Macaca fascicularis: one gene and its partner. The protein of the gene in region 1 purifies or fractionates together with the protein of each later gene. This does not show direct contact. Links are inferred from orthologs where the notes say so. Each region holds a gene or a part of one and is shown in the gene's direction. Other genes may lie near its edges.

Evidence for each region. Proteins that work in one complex are often made in the same cells at the same time.
Region 2: the proteins of STK3 (region 1) and RASSF3 purify together in Homo sapiens (affinity purification with mass spectrometry; 4 studies listed by BioGRID and IntAct, with this or other methods). This does not show direct contact. The link is inferred for Macaca fascicularis from reciprocal best matches to the Homo sapiens genes STK3 and RASSF3.

The regions. Positions count from the first base shown.
Region 1 is NC_088382.1:108,435,582-108,439,846, reverse strand, and holds the start of STK3 (serine/threonine-protein kinase 3), read left to right. Parts: upstream 1-1,463; 5' UTR 1,464-1,645; coding exon 1,646-1,671; intron 1,672-4,265. UniProt on the Homo sapiens protein: Stress-activated, pro-apoptotic kinase which, following caspase-cleavage, enters the nucleus and induces chromatin condensation followed by internucleosomal DNA fragmentation.
Region 2 is NC_088385.1:71,262,137-71,266,106, forward strand, and holds the start of RASSF3 (ras association domain-containing protein 3), read left to right. Parts: upstream 1-1,170; 5' UTR 1,171-1,191; coding exon 1,192-1,315; intron 1,316-3,970.

The DNA.
Region 1 (4,265 bases):
TTCTCAGAATTTGAGTTTCAAAAATGAATGGCCTTAAAATAACTAAATTTGGGGAAGAATATAATGGTTTGAAAATAAATAATGTAAGTTTATTACATAGTGAAACTTAATGCAACAAGAGGACTAAACTAAACTTGTATTAGCTGCTAACAGTCAAGTTTAATCTGGGCAAATATTCACATTATTCAACATTCTCTTCAAATTCATTTCCTTTATTTAGCATTATCTTCATATTTATTGTTCTAACCGCCAAGAAAATTCTTATAACTCTACATCTTGACAATTTCTTTCTTTCTTTTTCTTTTTTGAGACAAGGTCTGCTCTGTCACCCAGGCTGGAGTGCAGTGGCGCGATCCCGGATCACTGCAACCTCTGCCTCCCGGGTTCAAGTGATTCTCTTGCCTCAGCCTCCCAAGTAGCTGGGAGTACAGGCGCATCGCCACGCCCGGCTAACTTTTGTATTTTTAGTAGAGACGAGGTTTCACCATGTTGGCCAGGATGGTCTTGAACTCCTGAGCACAAGTGATGCGCCCGCCTTGGCCTCCCAAAGTGTTGGGATTACAGGCATGAGCCACCGCGCCCGGCCCATCTTGACAATTTCTGACAAAAACAGGTAAACTCATGTAGCAGCTGTATATTGTTATGTGAAAGGTATCTATACATGGAATTTAAGGTTAAAAGTATACCCACAATATGGATGCATGCAGTGGTCAAATTACAATGGGATGAGGACTACTGGGATCAGGTTAGGGGAGAGGACCAAAGAGGGAACCAAGCACACTTTTCTTGAGTATTCTTCTTGGCAGCATAATTTGTGCAGGCTTGCCAGGTTACCCAATGGGACAGCTGCAAGGACCCAGTGCAACTGAATTTGGTGCACCGAGAGATCTCACTGCATTAATTATTTTCTCGGTAATTAGATGTAATTATTGTGAAATGTAGCGAGGAGCTTGTCTACAATAAAAATCAAACAAGAATTTCCAGAAGTATCCCTAGTACTGCGGCCTACACATGCCAAATGGCTGGGGGAAAAACATAACCGATAATTATAAACAGAACTAGAGAGGGAAGCGTGGGCAGTTAGAAAGTAATACTTCAAACGGATTCACACGATGTTTGGATGTATCGTTGGGAAAGCCAAAGAAATGAGTCAAATTGGATCAGGGCAAACCGTATCGAGGGCAAGCGAGGGGCGGAGCACTGGGCCAGCTCGGAGGGACTCGCCCTTCCCCAGGCTAGAGCGGCTCCGGCCTCGCCCCCTCGCTCTAGCCGAACCTCCTCCTTTTCCCGGTCACGGGGCTCTGGGGTCAGCCCGGCCTTCGTCCCCAGCCCCGCCCACCCGCCGCGGCACCAGCCCCGCCCGCCAGCCCAGGCCGCGGCAGGCTCCGCCCCCCGCCGCGGCGCCCGGCTCCGCCCACCTTCTCTGGGCTGCTGCCGGAGGCAGGCGACTGGCGGCCGGGGGCGGGGCGGTAGGAGCAGCGCTCCGAAGCGGGAGGGAGATCCGCCGCGGAGTTACGGGAAAGTTGGTCCGAGTTCCCAGAGTTTCCCTCTGTGGTTCCTTAGGCTCGGCCAGCCGGTGCCCGGTCTCCTTTCCTCCTTTCGGCCTTCGCAGTCCACCAGGTCCCTCTCTCTGCCCCCGGCCGCCATGGAGCAGCCGCCGGCGCCTAAGAGGTAACGAATCGGGGAGCGGGAAGAAGGAGGGAAGCGGCGCCGGCGGCCGCGGGGCGGGGGTGGCTAGGCCAGGCCCTGCTGCGACCCTCTCCCTGCCCGCCGGGCCCTGAGCCGGGCGCGCCGAGGTCGGGAGGCGGGTCCGAGTGTCCCGCCGAGTCCGTCTACGGGGCGAGGGGGCCTGAGGGGAGTGGGAGCCGGAGCCTCCCCTGCGGCCGGCGGGCCTGGCGCGTGGAAAGTCGGGTGGGCAGCGCCGGGCTCCCTGCGGCCTGACCTCCCGGGGCGGGTGGGGTGATCCCTCGTAGCAAGTTCACAAAGTCTGGGAGACTTAAAACCAGGGAATTATTGGTCTTCTTACAACCACGTAGACTTTCTTGTCAAATGTTCTGCATAATACTGCCTTTTGTTTTTTTTGAGAAGGTGGTTTGCTTACGGCTTAAGGAATTAAATATTAATAGCTACACAGTCTGTAAAACATTGTGGATGTGCTGCTCTGACAGGTGTTACTCCGCCTAACCCCTCAAGTTCAAAAGTATTTATGGATTCAAGACAGTGGGAAGTTTAAATTAGAACCCCCTCCCCCAATATAGATTTGCGTGTAAAAATAGTGCTGCTTTGGTATGGTATTTACTGTTATTAATGGTTTATATTTAATCTTTGATACCTGTGTTGGAAATGTGTGCATACAAGAGTGGGATGTGTTTGAGCTAATATTTGCGATGATGTTAGGAAGCCAAATCTGGGTTGTCCATTGACAGAAGTTCATAATATGCATTCCTCTCTCCCCAAGAATGAGTTAACGAATTGTCTGATGTTGCTAAAACATTTACTCAGTCTTTCATTTTTAAGTTTTAAAATAAGGATAGTAATCTCTCAGATAGTGCTGTTGTGAAGATTAAAGAGATCGTTTGCTTTGACAGCTGGAGATCTTTAGATGAAAGGTGTGTTCAAGAACGTAGGATAATTGAAAAGGTAGGAACTTTGGGGGCTATTGTGAATTGTATGACTAGACAAGTGAACCTTGAGGCCTGGAAGCCATCTGTTCAGGTGAAAAAAGGGGGGAGTCGTGAAGGAGTTTCCAAAAGGGACCTGCTGTCAGAGCCCTTGAGTAAGTCAACTGATAGATTATTTTCTAGCATTTCGTAAGTTACCTGCATTCGACTCACTGGGCACCGTTTTAATACAATATAAGAGAATTGGGCACTTTTTTCTTTTCTGGAAGAACTGGAAGGAGCACTTCTGAGAAAACACAATAGGCCGTTGGAGCAACTGAATTGAAGTGCAGCTCTCTATTGATTAGCTGTACTGTAAGTTATCAGAGTTTCATTATAGGTGTAAGAGAATCCTTGCCCTTGTAGAGACATTAGAGAACCTGGAGGAGTCAGGGGCAGGTGTAGGCGGTAATTCTGTGGTGATTTATACTTTTCAAAGTGGTGGTTGCACATTTAACATACTTATTTTTAGCTTATTCAGAGAGTCTTATTTTGAAGTAGTGAACAAAAATGCCACAAAGGCATTTTGAAAAGGCAAAAGGTATGTGACAGCAATCCCTTATATTTGAATGTCTCAACATTTTAAGAATTTTCATATTCATAATATTTAATCCTCACAGCAACCCTATGTAGTAGGTTGGATTATAGGCATTAATCCTAATTTATAGATGAGGATGTTGAGGGAGTTTGCCACATGGAAGGCTATGACAGGAATTACTGGCAGTTTTGTCCCTATTGATTATTATCTCCTAATAATGAAATATAGCTACTCGTTTTGAGGTCATCCTGTTTGCCAGGAAATTTAAATATACATTATTTAAATCCTAAGAAATAGTAATCCTGGCACTGCTACTTATTATGCTAGTTCTAAGTTTAATTTTTCCATCTGTGGAAATGTATTGTGAGGATTAAATGAGGTGATATGTAAAGCACTTGGGACAGAGTAAGACCCTGTCTCAAAAAAAAAAACAAAAACAAAACAAAAACAACAAAAGATAATGGGGACTAATTTAATAAATATTTATGTATCACAACTGAGCTTAAGAAATAAAATTTGACCAATATATTCGAAGCCCCTATGTGTTCAACAGTGTTAGTTGTTAACTTATGTTTTCTTTATTATATGAGGCTCAAAGAGGCTAAATAACTTGATCAAGTAGAGAAGGTGCCAGAATTCTGCATCTGATTGGCTACAAAGGCTGTGCACCCTCTCATTGTATACAGTGATGGCTCTTTTCGAAACTGTCTTTCTTATTCCATGATGTAGTGGTCCTCTTTTTTCTGTAATCTCCTGGTCTCTGTTGCTTATTCTGCTCATAATGCCTATAAAAGTGCCATTTTGCTTTTCTGCCTTGAATAACACTTCCTTAGTGCTGACTTTTACATGGCCTTATCGATGTTGTTGATGTTCGGGTATGACTAGAAGCTGCTGCTCAGTTGGCATTTTTCATTTTTTAAGGTAGGTCTTACTCTTTCATTAACCCATCTAGTTTGTCACTACAGCCTATCAAATTTTCTATTGAAAAGTTGGTGGATTAATTTTTTCTCTTTTCTTTCTCAAGAGTACTACCCCATAAAACCCATTCCATGGTTTTATGACCCTCA
Region 2 (3,970 bases), on another chromosome or scaffold:
GTTTCTCTTTAGAGAGTAAATCAGCTCCAAAAATTTGTTGTGGCATATAAAAAGCAAGCATCAGGCTGTTTAAGCGACTTAACTCCTAAATGAATATATGAATAAGTTTATTTCTTTTGACATAAACAGAAGGCACAAAGACCAACTGTTAGACATAGTCTCAGGAGTGATGATGGGAACCTCAGTGCGAGCTGCGTAGTAGACAACTAGGCATTGATGTCTGCTGAAATGCTGAAAGGGATTCAATAATGTTAGAAGTTCTAGAGAATTGTTCAATAAATGGTTAAAGATCAAAATAGGACCCTGGGGGAAAATGTTCTTTTGCACTTTTTTTTTTTTTTAAATACAGTCTCGCTCTGTCACCCAGGCTGGAGTGCAGTAGTGCAATCATAGCTCACTGCAGCTTCATCTGGATTCTAGCAGTCCTCCCACCTCAGCCTCCTGAGTAGCTGGGACTATAGGTACATGCCACCACACCCAGCTTTTTTGTTTTGTTTTTTTGTTTGTTTGTTTTTGTAGAGACAGCACTTTGTTGCCTAGGCTGGTCTTGAGCTCCTGGGCTCAAGCAGTTCTCCCATCTCAGCCTCCCAAAGTGCTGGGATTACAGGTGTGAGCCCCTGTGCCTGGCACTTTTACACATTTTTTGACTCATAAGAACTAATTTTTTTTTCTGGGATAAATTCCTGCCAAAGTTTAAAATAGGTTTCATTTATCCAGTAAAAATGCACAAAACAAATGGGATCAAGGCTACGGCTTTGGGAGATTGCTTGCCCATCACCACTAAGTCCTGCAACTTACCACTGATAATTCTGTTGGAAATTGAGTTAGTTGATACTGGGTTTTTTTTTTTTTCACTCCTCTATGAAAATAATTGTGTTTTTATGAACGAGGTCAGGAGGTCCATGCTTGAAAATTACCAAGTGTTGCATTAGGTTAGAGCTTCTTTTAAAAAAGCTTAAAACTCTTTCTTTAGAAAGAACATCTATTAATACAGTTTCTAGTTATGAGGGCCAAGGCCTAAAGGACAAGCCAAAAGAATGACAGAGGAAGGGGATTTAGGGCTAACAGGTGGTCCCCAGACATATTGGCTGAAAGGCAGTTCACAGCTAAAGTGTCATATGTGGGTGTTAACTATGCTCCTCATCCATGCTCTCTGTAGCGAGTCGTTCTGGAACTCTCCTGGTTCTCACTATGGCCATAAGAAGTGACTTTCATGAGACCTTCAGAAGAATAGCGCGGCTCTTTTACTGGTTCCCCAAATCACTGACCTGCTCAAAGAATCAGAAATCCAAGCTGCCCTGGAGCCAAGGTGGGGGTAAGTCACCTCAGGCTAATGCCTTATTTCAAACCCATGTTTTTCTGTTACGTTTTTAAATGGAGCCTCCCTCAAGTGGGCAGGGAGGCGTGGGAAAAAAAAGTCTTGAAGCCTTTAAAAGGTATTTTCCCACTTGGTCATCTGGGGGGAAAATTGAGAGAAAATAAAGTTAAGCATTTTGAGGCTGAAGTATTAGAAGCCATGAACACTGTTACAATTCAATTGTATGCTTTTTAGGCATTTCGATTCCGAAAAGTTGACTAGAGAGAGATGAAGAATGTTTAGTATTTAAAAACAACAAAAACAGCTCTTATTCTCAGGGACTCTTAACTTGTCCTAGTACTAAAACATCTTAGAATAAAACAGAACACAAAAAATAAGTCACAATGAGTTCCCCTCCTTTCCATAGGAAACTAAAAAGGTCAGTGGGCCTTAAATCTCTTTTATTTGCGTCAGTTTATGCATCACATTTTAGTCAGGTATTTCTTGATGTGAGAATTTAAAGCACCTTATATTTGCTACCACATAAAGCCCTGCTTTTTCTGTCCAGTCCTGCCTGACTGGAATATGCAAGGGTCAGAGGAGAGGGGGTTAAAGGGAGTAGATGACCCCTCCAAGTCTGGTATCTGCAGTTCCCGCAGGAGCCCAGCTTTCGCCTTCATACTCTGCAGCACTGGTTGTACTACTTACACTACTTAAGCCAATTCTCTCACTTCATAATGTTTCATCTTGCAACTGAATCAAAATTCTAATTATGTTTCTTTCACACCCGTATAGCTCAGCATTTTATGTAAGTGCTTAACAATTACATCAATTGTATTATGTGTTTGATACATTATCACACATAATCTGATGATGTGCCAGATTATCCAGTGCCAGATCCTCCTTTAAAAACAGAAGTGAAGACTAGGCCCCGTGGCTCACGCCTGTAATCTCAGCACTTTGGGAGGCCAAGGCGGGTATATTACCTGAGATGAGGAGTTCAAGACCAGCCTGGCTAACATGGTGAAAACCAGTCTGTACTAAAAACACAAAAAAATTAGCTGGGCATGGTGGCTGGTGCCTGTAATCCCAGCTACTCAGGAGACTGAGGCAGGAGAATCACTTGAACCTGGGAGGCGGAGGTTGCAGTGAGCCAAGATCATGCCCTTGTACTCCAGCCTGGGCAACAAGAGCTAAACTTCGTCTCAAAAAAAAAAAAAAAAAAAAAAAAAACACAGAAGTGATTATGATCTATAATCACCAAGGCGTGATTAAGAAATTTATTTAAACGCATGCAGGCCAGGCACAGTGGCTCATGCCTGTAATCCCAGCACTTTGGGAGGCCAAGGCAGGTGGATCACCTGAGGTCGGGAGTTCCAGACAAGCCTGACCAACATGGAGAAACCCATCTCTACTAAAAATACAAAATTAGCTGGGTGTGGTGGTGCACACCTGTAATCCCAGCTACTTGGGAGGCTGAGGCAGGAGAATTGCTTGAAAACCCAGGAGGCGGAGGTTGCGGTGAGCCGAGATTGCGCCATTGCACTCCAGCCTAGGCAACAAGAGTGAACCTCCGTCTCAAAAAAAAAAAAACATGCAATTCATTTAAAAAAGAAATAAGAAATTTATAAAATATAATGCCTAGGACATTTCAATCATCCATTTTTTCTTTAATTTTTTTTCATTCTTTCTCACTGTCAAAATAGGGATAATATCAAGTCTCTGTTTATATGTACCATTCTTCAGATATGGATTAGCACAATTTGGGATGTTAGAGCCCCAAGAGAACTTAAGAAAAATCATCTTCACCAATTGCTTCATTTTAAAGATAAGCAAAAAGGCTGGGGGCGGTGGCTCAGGCGTGTAATCCCAGCACTTTGGGAGGCCAAGGTGGGTGGATCATTTGAGGTCAGGAGTTCGAGATCAGCCGGGCCAACATGGTGAAACCCCGTCTCCACTAAAAATACAAAAATTAGCCGGGTGTGGTGGTGGGTGCCTATAATCCCAGCTACTTGGGAGGCTGAGCCAGAAGAATCACTTGAGCCCAGGAGGTAGAGGTTGCAATGAGCTGAGATGGCGCCACTGCACCCCAGCCTGGGCAACAGAGCAAGACTCAGTCTCAAAAAATAAAAATAAGATGAGCAAACTACCTCCAGAAGGTTAGATACCTTAACCTCCCAAAACTATTACATAGGCACAACCAGAGCTTTATCCCAGATTATCTAATTCTTGGTGTGCTGCTCTTTTTATCACACCACAGAGCAATGGTGAGTAAGTAACAGAATATGAACATACGAATCCTCACTGAATATTTTACTTAAAGCTTTCATCAGTAGAAAATCTATACTTAGAAAGTTTGATTATCTATTTTTCCAAAGTAAAGCTTGTTAGTTTTCTTATTACTGTGGAGATTGATAGCCTGATTCCAACAATCTTTTCACTTATACACAATATTATGAAAGAAAGTTTTTTTGTTGAGGCCAAGCGCAGTGGCTCATGCCTGTGATCCTAGAACTTTGTGAGGCCGAGGCAGGCAGATCACTTGAGGTCAGGAGTTTAAGACCAGCCTGGCCACCATGGTGAAACCCCATGTCTACTAAAAATACAAAAATTAGCCAGGCATGGTGGCAGCCACCTGTAATCCTAGCTACTCGGGAGACTGAGGCAGAAGAA